Rattus norvegicus: one gene and its partner. The protein of the gene in region 1 purifies or fractionates together with the protein of each later gene. This does not show direct contact. Links are inferred from orthologs where the notes say so. Each region holds a gene or a part of one and is shown on either strand. Other genes may lie near its edges.

The links.
Region 2: the proteins of Rack1 (region 1) and Tnrc6c purify together in Homo sapiens (affinity purification with mass spectrometry; 3 studies listed by BioGRID and IntAct, counting the BioPlex papers as one, with this or other methods). This does not show direct contact. The link is inferred for Rattus norvegicus from reciprocal best matches to the Homo sapiens genes RACK1 and TNRC6C.

What each region holds. Positions count from the first base shown.
Region 1 is NC_086028.1:33,669,375-33,673,287, forward strand, and holds the start of Rack1 (small ribosomal subunit protein RACK1), read left to right. Parts: upstream 1-1,175; 5' UTR 1,176-1,308; coding exon 1,309-1,417; intron 1,418-1,697; exon of another isoform or gene 1,698-1,765; intron 1,766-2,439; coding exon 2,440-2,611; intron 2,612-2,853; exon of another isoform or gene 2,854-2,933; intron 2,934-3,088; coding exon 3,089-3,236; intron 3,237-3,743; exon of another isoform or gene 3,744-3,811; intron 3,812-3,913. UniProt on the Homo sapiens protein: Scaffolding protein involved in the recruitment, assembly and/or regulation of a variety of signaling molecules. Interacts with a wide variety of proteins and plays a role in many cellular processes.
Region 2 is NC_086028.1:103,411,066-103,414,978, forward strand, and holds the start of Tnrc6c (trinucleotide repeat containing adaptor 6C), read left to right. Parts: upstream 1-1,255; coding exon 1,256-1,318; intron 1,319-2,326; coding exon 2,327-2,348; intron 2,349-3,913. UniProt on the Homo sapiens protein: Plays a role in RNA-mediated gene silencing by micro-RNAs (miRNAs). Required for miRNA-dependent translational repression of complementary mRNAs by argonaute family proteins.

The DNA of each region.
Region 1 (3,913 bases):
TCTTTTACATAGTGAGACTGTCTCAAAAACGAACAAACAAAAACTAAACAAGATTGAGAGATGGGGGCGGGGCACGAGGGGGTAGATGTAACTCCATAAGGCATTTTCCTCACATGTGGGAGTTCAACCCATAGCACTAAAATAATTAAATGTATCATTTAGTTCATATAGACATTAGTGGTTGGTTACCTTCCTGACCTGTGCTCCTTTTTAAAAAATATTTAAGCTGAGCAAGAGGAGCACGCATGGCAGAAAAGAAAATTCCTGACTTCAACCTGTGCACTGTGACGATCACAAGCGCACTCACACACAAATAATTTTAAGTTTTTTTTTCCTTTTTCTTTTTTTTTTTTTTAGGAGCTGGGGACCGAACCCAGGGCCTTGTGCTTGCTAGGCAAGCGCTCTACCACTGAGCTAAATCCCCAACCCCCAATTTTAAAACGTAAAGTTAAAATTTTTTGAGAGATCTGTGACATTTGGAGACACTAAATAATTCAAACAAGTGTTGAGGGGAGGGTCATCAGGTTGCTAGATTATCAGTGTTCCTCTTCTTCCCTGTCCAGGTTCACTTCTTTCAGGGCTACACAAGACGGACTAGCAGGCTTTTCTGAGGAGTGATCAGAAGCACAGAAAGGGCTTCCAATCCCCATAAATCTTAACCCAGCACTTTCTCTATAGCCTCGCCCGGCAGCGGCCCGGTTCTTGGGAGACAGAAGACATCCTTGGCAACATAGCCAGTTTAAGACTAGCCTTCACTACATGAAACCTTGCCTTAAAACAAAAAAGGCCAAATTTCGTGGCATACTCCTTTAACTGCAACTTTAATTGTACTTCCGTAAGTCAAAGTTAAAGCCGCGGTCTCCAACCGAGAACTAAACACGAAGCGGAAAGGGCGGAGCTCCGTCAGTGCCACGTAGGGGCGGTGAGCCGCTGTAGTTCGGTAATGTGCCGTTTAGCCTCACTTCTGCTTCCACGGCATGTTTTAATCTTCCGAGAAGCCTTTCTAAAAACCTGGTGCACCTGGCTTCAGAATGCATTTGTACAGCGCTGCCTGTATGTTGCGTGGCAGAAGAAACGACGATACTGCGATCTACTTCTCCAGTTCCTCCCACTTCATAGTGCAGCCATCTTTGGGCAGCAGTGAATCATGGGAATCCCCGCCTTGCTCTCCGAGTATTTCCGGTTCCGGCGGAGGCCGCTCTTTCTTTTTCTCCGCAGGGTCGCGGTGGCAGCCGCTGCGGTGCTTGGCTCCCTAAGCTATCCGGTGCCATCCTTGTCGCTGCGGCGACACTCGCAACATCTGCAGCCATGACCGAGCAAATGACCCTTCGTGGGACCCTCAAGGGCCATAATGGATGGGTTACACAGATCGCCACCACTCCGCAGTTCCCGGACATGATCCTGTCGGCGTCTCGAGGTACGGGGCTGCATGCCGGGTGAAACACCCTGTGTCCTGGTGACTGCATGTCTCGTGGCTAAGCAAGTGGCGCTCGTGTTGGCTGGCTCGGTCCGTTCCCCGACCCAGGTGTGAGTTGGGGCGTGCAGACCCGAACATGGGCCCCAACCGGGGCGACCCTTTACATATGAACGGAAACCGGGACTTGTCACGCAAGTGCACAGCATGGCGATTTTAATGCATCTCTCGCTTGCTTTCTGGAGATGTGTTAACGAAGTAATTACGTGGCTACAAGCCAGGCGGAGCAATGATGACCCCAACATGCCATCTGAGTTGCTTTGCTGAAATCCAGAGGCTGTTTCTGAGCTGCCACCGCCTGGCCCTGAACTCTAGGTGCCTTGTTCCCCAGAATTCCGGGCTTGCCCGTCCTGCCCTAGATTTTCTTTCCTTGTAACTAATGCTATTTTTTCTTTCATGATATGTCTCCATGTATTTTTCCCTCTCAGGTCCTCCCTACTTGCCCAAAATTATGTTCGTCCTCTCTCTCCTACCTAATTAATGCTAGGCTTATCGGGCTTTCTGTTGGTTTCTGTGTAAGTCGAAATGGTCGTGGCTAGGACTGTGTATGATGCTGCCGTAACTGCTGCCTTTCTGTTAACTCTCCGAGGCGGGAAAGTGTCTCTGCTCATCCTACACCCAAGTGACAGTGCTTTTGCTATTGAGTTAGCCGCATCGATGGATAAGGCTAGAGTTTGAACACCATAGACACATATAGTGTGCGCGCGCGTACACACACACACGTAGGGAGCCACATTAAATAAGTTTTTTTATGTTGAACTTAAATCTCAACTCCAGGAAGTGTGTTGCCCATCATCTCAGATTACAGCTTAGATCTACGTCTCTGTGGAATAGTGAGCCTCTTTTACTTCAAATTTGCCGTTTTTCTGCCATTTACCACACCAGTGACCTTAGGACTGTAACTTGTGCGTGGTAAGTAGTAGGTTTTGGGGGTCCTCATGAGATTTCTTTACCAACCTTTTTAGACAAGACCATCATCATGTGGAAGCTGACCAGGGATGAGACCAACTACGGCATACCACAACGTGCTCTTCGAGGTCACTCCCACTTTGTTAGCGATGTTGTCATCTCCTCTGATGGCCAGTTTGCCCTCTCAGGCTCCTGGGATGGAACCCTACGCCTCTGGGATCTCACAACGCAAGTAGCTGCTTTGGGGCCTTGGGGGAAGGTGGGCAAAAGTGAGGTAGATTCCCCAGGGTGTGGTCTTCCCTTGGTAATCAGTCCTTTTGTTTGAGGGAAGGCAACATTTTGGGGTGTTAGGCTTCCCTTGGAGCTGCTTTTTTTTTTTTTAACTGGGTACCATGGGCTATTAAGTTGTCTCGGGTTGTAAGTTGTCTTAGATGGACATTGGCAGATGGACATTGGCAGATGTAATAGAGGATCCTAGTGATGACAAGGAGACATTGTCAACCAATCCCCACAAGGGAATGAGGACATGTCCTGCAATTCTGAATGGGTTCTCTGGTACATATCAGACATGGGCTAATAGTAGGTTCTGAACCACTTGTGGACTGTGGAGTATAATAGAGCCTACAGGGTAAGGGTGGGGCTAGGAAAAGGATCTAACTGGATGGGTGAAACCTGTCTAGAAAGTGACCAGGTTCTCCCTCTTAGGGGCACTACCACGAGACGATTTGTCGGCCACACCAAGGATGTGCTGAGCGTGGCTTTCTCCTCTGACAACCGGCAGATTGTCTCTGGGTCCCGAGACAAGACCATTAAGTTATGGAATACTCTGGGTGTCTGCAAGTACACTGTCCAGGTAAAGGGGTAAGGGTGGTAGGGACGGCGTCCAGGGCTGTCTCCCACCCCCTGGGGGCTGTTTTTAGGGTGCGTTCATCACTGTGTGGTCCTGGTGGCCTCAGGTGATCTGATTCCTAGGTGTGTACTACTACCACCTGGCACTTTCTCTTGTGTATTGTTAGCCCTGTCTGGGATTTTGTTTTTAAACTTTGTGTGCCTGCTACCTTGTGACTGGACTGGCATGGGGCTCAGAGGAGTTGGAGGGATTGTTTGTTTGTGGGTTTCTGTGTAGGTAGACCTGCATGAGATCATGTGCTTCCAGACTGCTGGGGTTAAAAGGCCTTCTTTTCCCCCTTTAATCCCATATTAGGTTGAGCTGTGGAAACCCAAACCACGGCATCAGTTGGGCAGGGTCTTGGCACATGAGCAGATACCCAGATGTCTCTCATAACTGCCCTAAGGTTTAAATGATCTTAAGTCTCTCACCTATCTCCTAGAGATGTGTTTGAGGGGTTACAAGCCAGGCCCAACAGTGATGACCACAACATGCCATCTGAGTTGCTTTGCTGAAATCCAGAGGCTGTTTCTGAGCTGTGCCTGGTCCTGTGCTCCATGAGTAATGAGTGGGTGAGCTCTGGGGTCACCTTAGGACTCAAATGTCAGCAGGCTTGACAGGTGGCTTTGCCCCTGGTCTGT
Region 2 (3,913 bases), about 70 Mb from region 1:
CAACTAGAGCACATGCAGAATGCAAGCCAGTCACAGCCAGTAGCCCCTCAGCTTGTGCTCCTATTGGAAAGGAGCCCTGGGCGTGTTGATGGATGGCTAGGTGTGTGTGGACTATTGGTGCAGCAGACCTGGAGTCCGGTGTGTGTGTGAGGAGGAGTCCCATGAGAGACAGTTGGGAGGTGGCTAGTAGTAGGGACTGGAATTAGTTCAGTGCTAAGAGTGCCATTGGATGGGATGCTAGGCTGCCAGAGCCAAGGTTGCCCATGCTAAGCCTAGGCCTGTAACCAGCCAGCATCTGGGCTTCAAACCCACATACTAACCTCACAGTGCCACGGTAACAGGTGTCAAGAGGGTCCTTCCTCCTGCAACTCCCCATGGTGCTGACTGAAAGAAGGGCCAGAGCCTGTGTTACTGGGAGAGCATGGAGCCATCAGGAAAGAGATAGTGACCCCTGATGCATGCACACCACTTGGGCTAGCTATAGCACTACAGCCTAGGTGTTAGCTGTCTTCACTTTTTAAAACAGAGTTCTTCCATGTTGCATATCTTGTAATAGCTCTCCAGCTGAACAGGGCTCTGTATAAAAAGATAATCCGTGTCAGACAAACATGAAGTTAGAGCATACATGGGAATCACCTCCACAGAGCCTGATCTGTTGGATGAGTTGGATAGAAATCACAGATCATTTCTAATAGGGAGCCCCAGTGATGGCAGTCTCTGAGACAGCACTAAGTGTCCTTACTCTGTAGACCCCACACAAAGCCCTGCACTAGTCGATTTCTCCACAGTTGTGGGCAGAACAAACGAGACAGCTAAGCCACTTGACAAAAAAGCAGGGCAGCAGCTGTCATACTGGAGGGGAACCTCCATTTCTGACTCCTCTCAAAGTGGCTCTATCATGTTGATGACATTGTCTAGATCAAGACTTTGTGCACAAATAATATCCCTGCCCTGTATCCTGAGTGTGGAGTTTCAAACCCAGGGCCTCACGTACAAGGCTACAAGCACCTGAGCTATGGCGGCAGCACCCTCCTACATACAGGTTAGTCTAGGGGTTAGCCTGTGGGCCACTCTGGCCTTAAACTTGTGATTCTCCTGCCTCAGCCTCCCAGACAGCTGGAATTACAGTCCTGTGCCCTCACTCCTGGTTGCTTTTTTACTTCTTCATTGGCTTTAAAGTAGTCATCATACTAACACTGCTTCTTAAATATTTAATAGGGTAAAAGAACAGGAAACACAAGAAGAGGAACGTTTGATGGAAGAAAAGAAAAAGAAAAAGCAGGAAGACAAGAAAAAGAAGGAAGGTGCTCAGAAAAAGGTTTGCTAGGACTCCTTCCATGTCCTCCATGTCATGTCTGCATCAACATGGCTGTCTCATGTCCAAGGTTGATTCTAGTACTGTTTTACGTCAATATGCCGAGTCTGGAATGAGTAAATATAGACACTTGGCTAGTGAGGCGAGTACAGAGTGCCGGTTACAGAAGGTCTTTTCTACAGCGTCAGGCGTACTGAAGCTGTGTCCAGGGCAGCGCAGCTTCTGTGTAAAGAACGCTCTTGCTGCCTCCTGAGAATGGACCGCCCAGCCCAGCCCACCCACAGCAGCCTATCGAGACATCAGGGAGAACCAGGAAACTGACAGTATTAGAAAAGCTGGAAATAATTGTTACAGTCTTAGTAAACATTCTTTATAAATCCTTATAAATAAATAAGTTCTGTAAACCAGTTTGGAGAGATGACTCAACAGTTAGAAATATTTTCTTTTTAAAAAAATTCTGTTTTTTAGAGCTCTAATTTAAACCTTATAGTCATATTTTTTATTTTGTGGCATGTAAAATAGCCAAATTATACTACCCACCCTTGCTTTCATCTCTGTACTGAGCCGTGAGATTGGAAGGATCCTTCTAGACTGACACACAGGGAGTTCAGATAGTGTCCATTACAATGTTTGCCAGTCACTAACTTAGCACTGTCCTGTGGTCAGAGTAGGATTTTTCTCAGTAGTAAATTAGCTAAATAAAAGGTTTGCTTTTAAAATTTTAAGAATTAAAAGTTTTAGTCCCAATAGTCACTCACACTCACTTGCTTGCTCCCCCCGACCCCCAAATTAAAATGAAAGGAAAACAGAGGCAGGCAGATTTCTGTAAGACTGAGGCCAACCTGGTCTGTGCAGTAAATTGCAAGACAGTCAAGGCTCCATGTCTCAAAGAAACTAAGAAAAAAACCCTAAAATAATTAAAAGTCTGCCTATAAACCTTCATCAGTGTGGACATTGCATTCAATTGTCTCTAAAAAGTTTCTCTTTTTTTTTTTTTTTTTTTTTTTTCAGGCTGCTGATCAAAAAACCAAAGGTAAGTTTTTTTTTTTTTAAATAATATATTTTGTGAGGGGAATACTTTTTATAGTAGCTTCAAACTTTGCAATGGTGTGACTTTTGTAAAATTTATTTTATGTTTATGGGTATTTTGCCTGCATGTTTGTCTGTGCACCAAGTGTGTGCAATGTCCAAAAGGCCAGAAGAGAGCCTTGGATCTCCTAAAACCGGAATTAAGACAGTTGTGAGCCACCATGTGGGTGCCCAAAACTGAACCAGGTCCTCTGCAAGAGTATCAAGCCTGGAGTTAATTGATACCTGGTGGGTGAAAACAGAGGCTCTAACTGTCTTCTATTGTACTTTCAGTATACATTGTGAAGCTCTTCATTTATGACTGATTTTATTCTGTGTTTTTTTCATTGTCATTAGGTTAATATAAAACTGCCTAGAAAATGTCATCTGCATTTTAAACAACACTTTAAAATTTCCTTTTGATTTGATTCCCACCAAATAAGGATCAAATTCAGGAATAAGAAGACCCAAAGAAAACTGAATATTTTTAAAGCTTGAAAGTCCTTGCTGCCATCTATTTCTTGCAGTGTAGCTTGTTTCTCTCTTACTGATGGTCAGAGGCGTCTTTCTTTCCAGAGCTGGCTGGCCTGTTGTTTTGACAGTGTCGGTGGGAACACAGGCAGCTCTCAGTGGATGTAGCTCAGGCGTGCTGAGTATGCTAAGCTCAGGGAAGCTGTACTCCCAGACGCCCACCTTCATACCTGAGTCCATAGGGACGGTTAGGAGAGGCACATGCCGTGGGTCACAGAGGCCAGCTCTGTTCCATCGTGCAAGGTGCTGCTTTAATCTTCAGGTGCCACATCTTTAAAATGAGAGAAGTCGATGGATTGCTCTTGCCTGCTAGGGCTGCTGTACAGACAGATGAGCCAGCCCACACGGGAAGGGTAGTGTGGCAGCTGGAGTGTCGCTGGGGTCCAGTGGAGGGCTGTGGCACTGACTGGCATGTCCTTCTTTTGTCTTCCCGTGGACACACAACTGCACATGCAGATGCTTACATCATAAGGATTTTTGCAAAAGTTCTGTCAGCTGCTCTGTAGTAATACTTCGTATCTAGTTGGCATCTTGTAGTTTTAATATCAAAATTATGTGTAGAATCTGAACTCATAATTGAGCAGGACTTAGATTAAGTTGTTGGTTTTTCTATTAGTAAATGCAGAACTAGTGGAACTACAGCTTTGACCCTGTGTGTTAGTCCTTAGTCTTAGTTCCTAGAGATGGGTTTGCTGGTAATGGGCATTAGAAGCAGCAGGGTTCTGCTCTGTTAGAATCTTTTCAGAAGGCTCCAAAAGGACTGGCTATGGCTGTATCTGAATTTATGATCTCAAATAAAACAGTGGTTTTTACTGCCATTTATAAATGTGGGACTCGTCCTACACTGTTGATATCCTCCCCACCCCTCGTTCGTGTGTGTGTGTGTGTGTGTGTGTGTGTGTGTGTGTGTGTGTGTCCCATTTTCACAACCTGTTTCATTGTCATTTATGATTCTTTACTTCTCAGGCTGTGACTGCTCACAACTGTGTGGTGACTGAA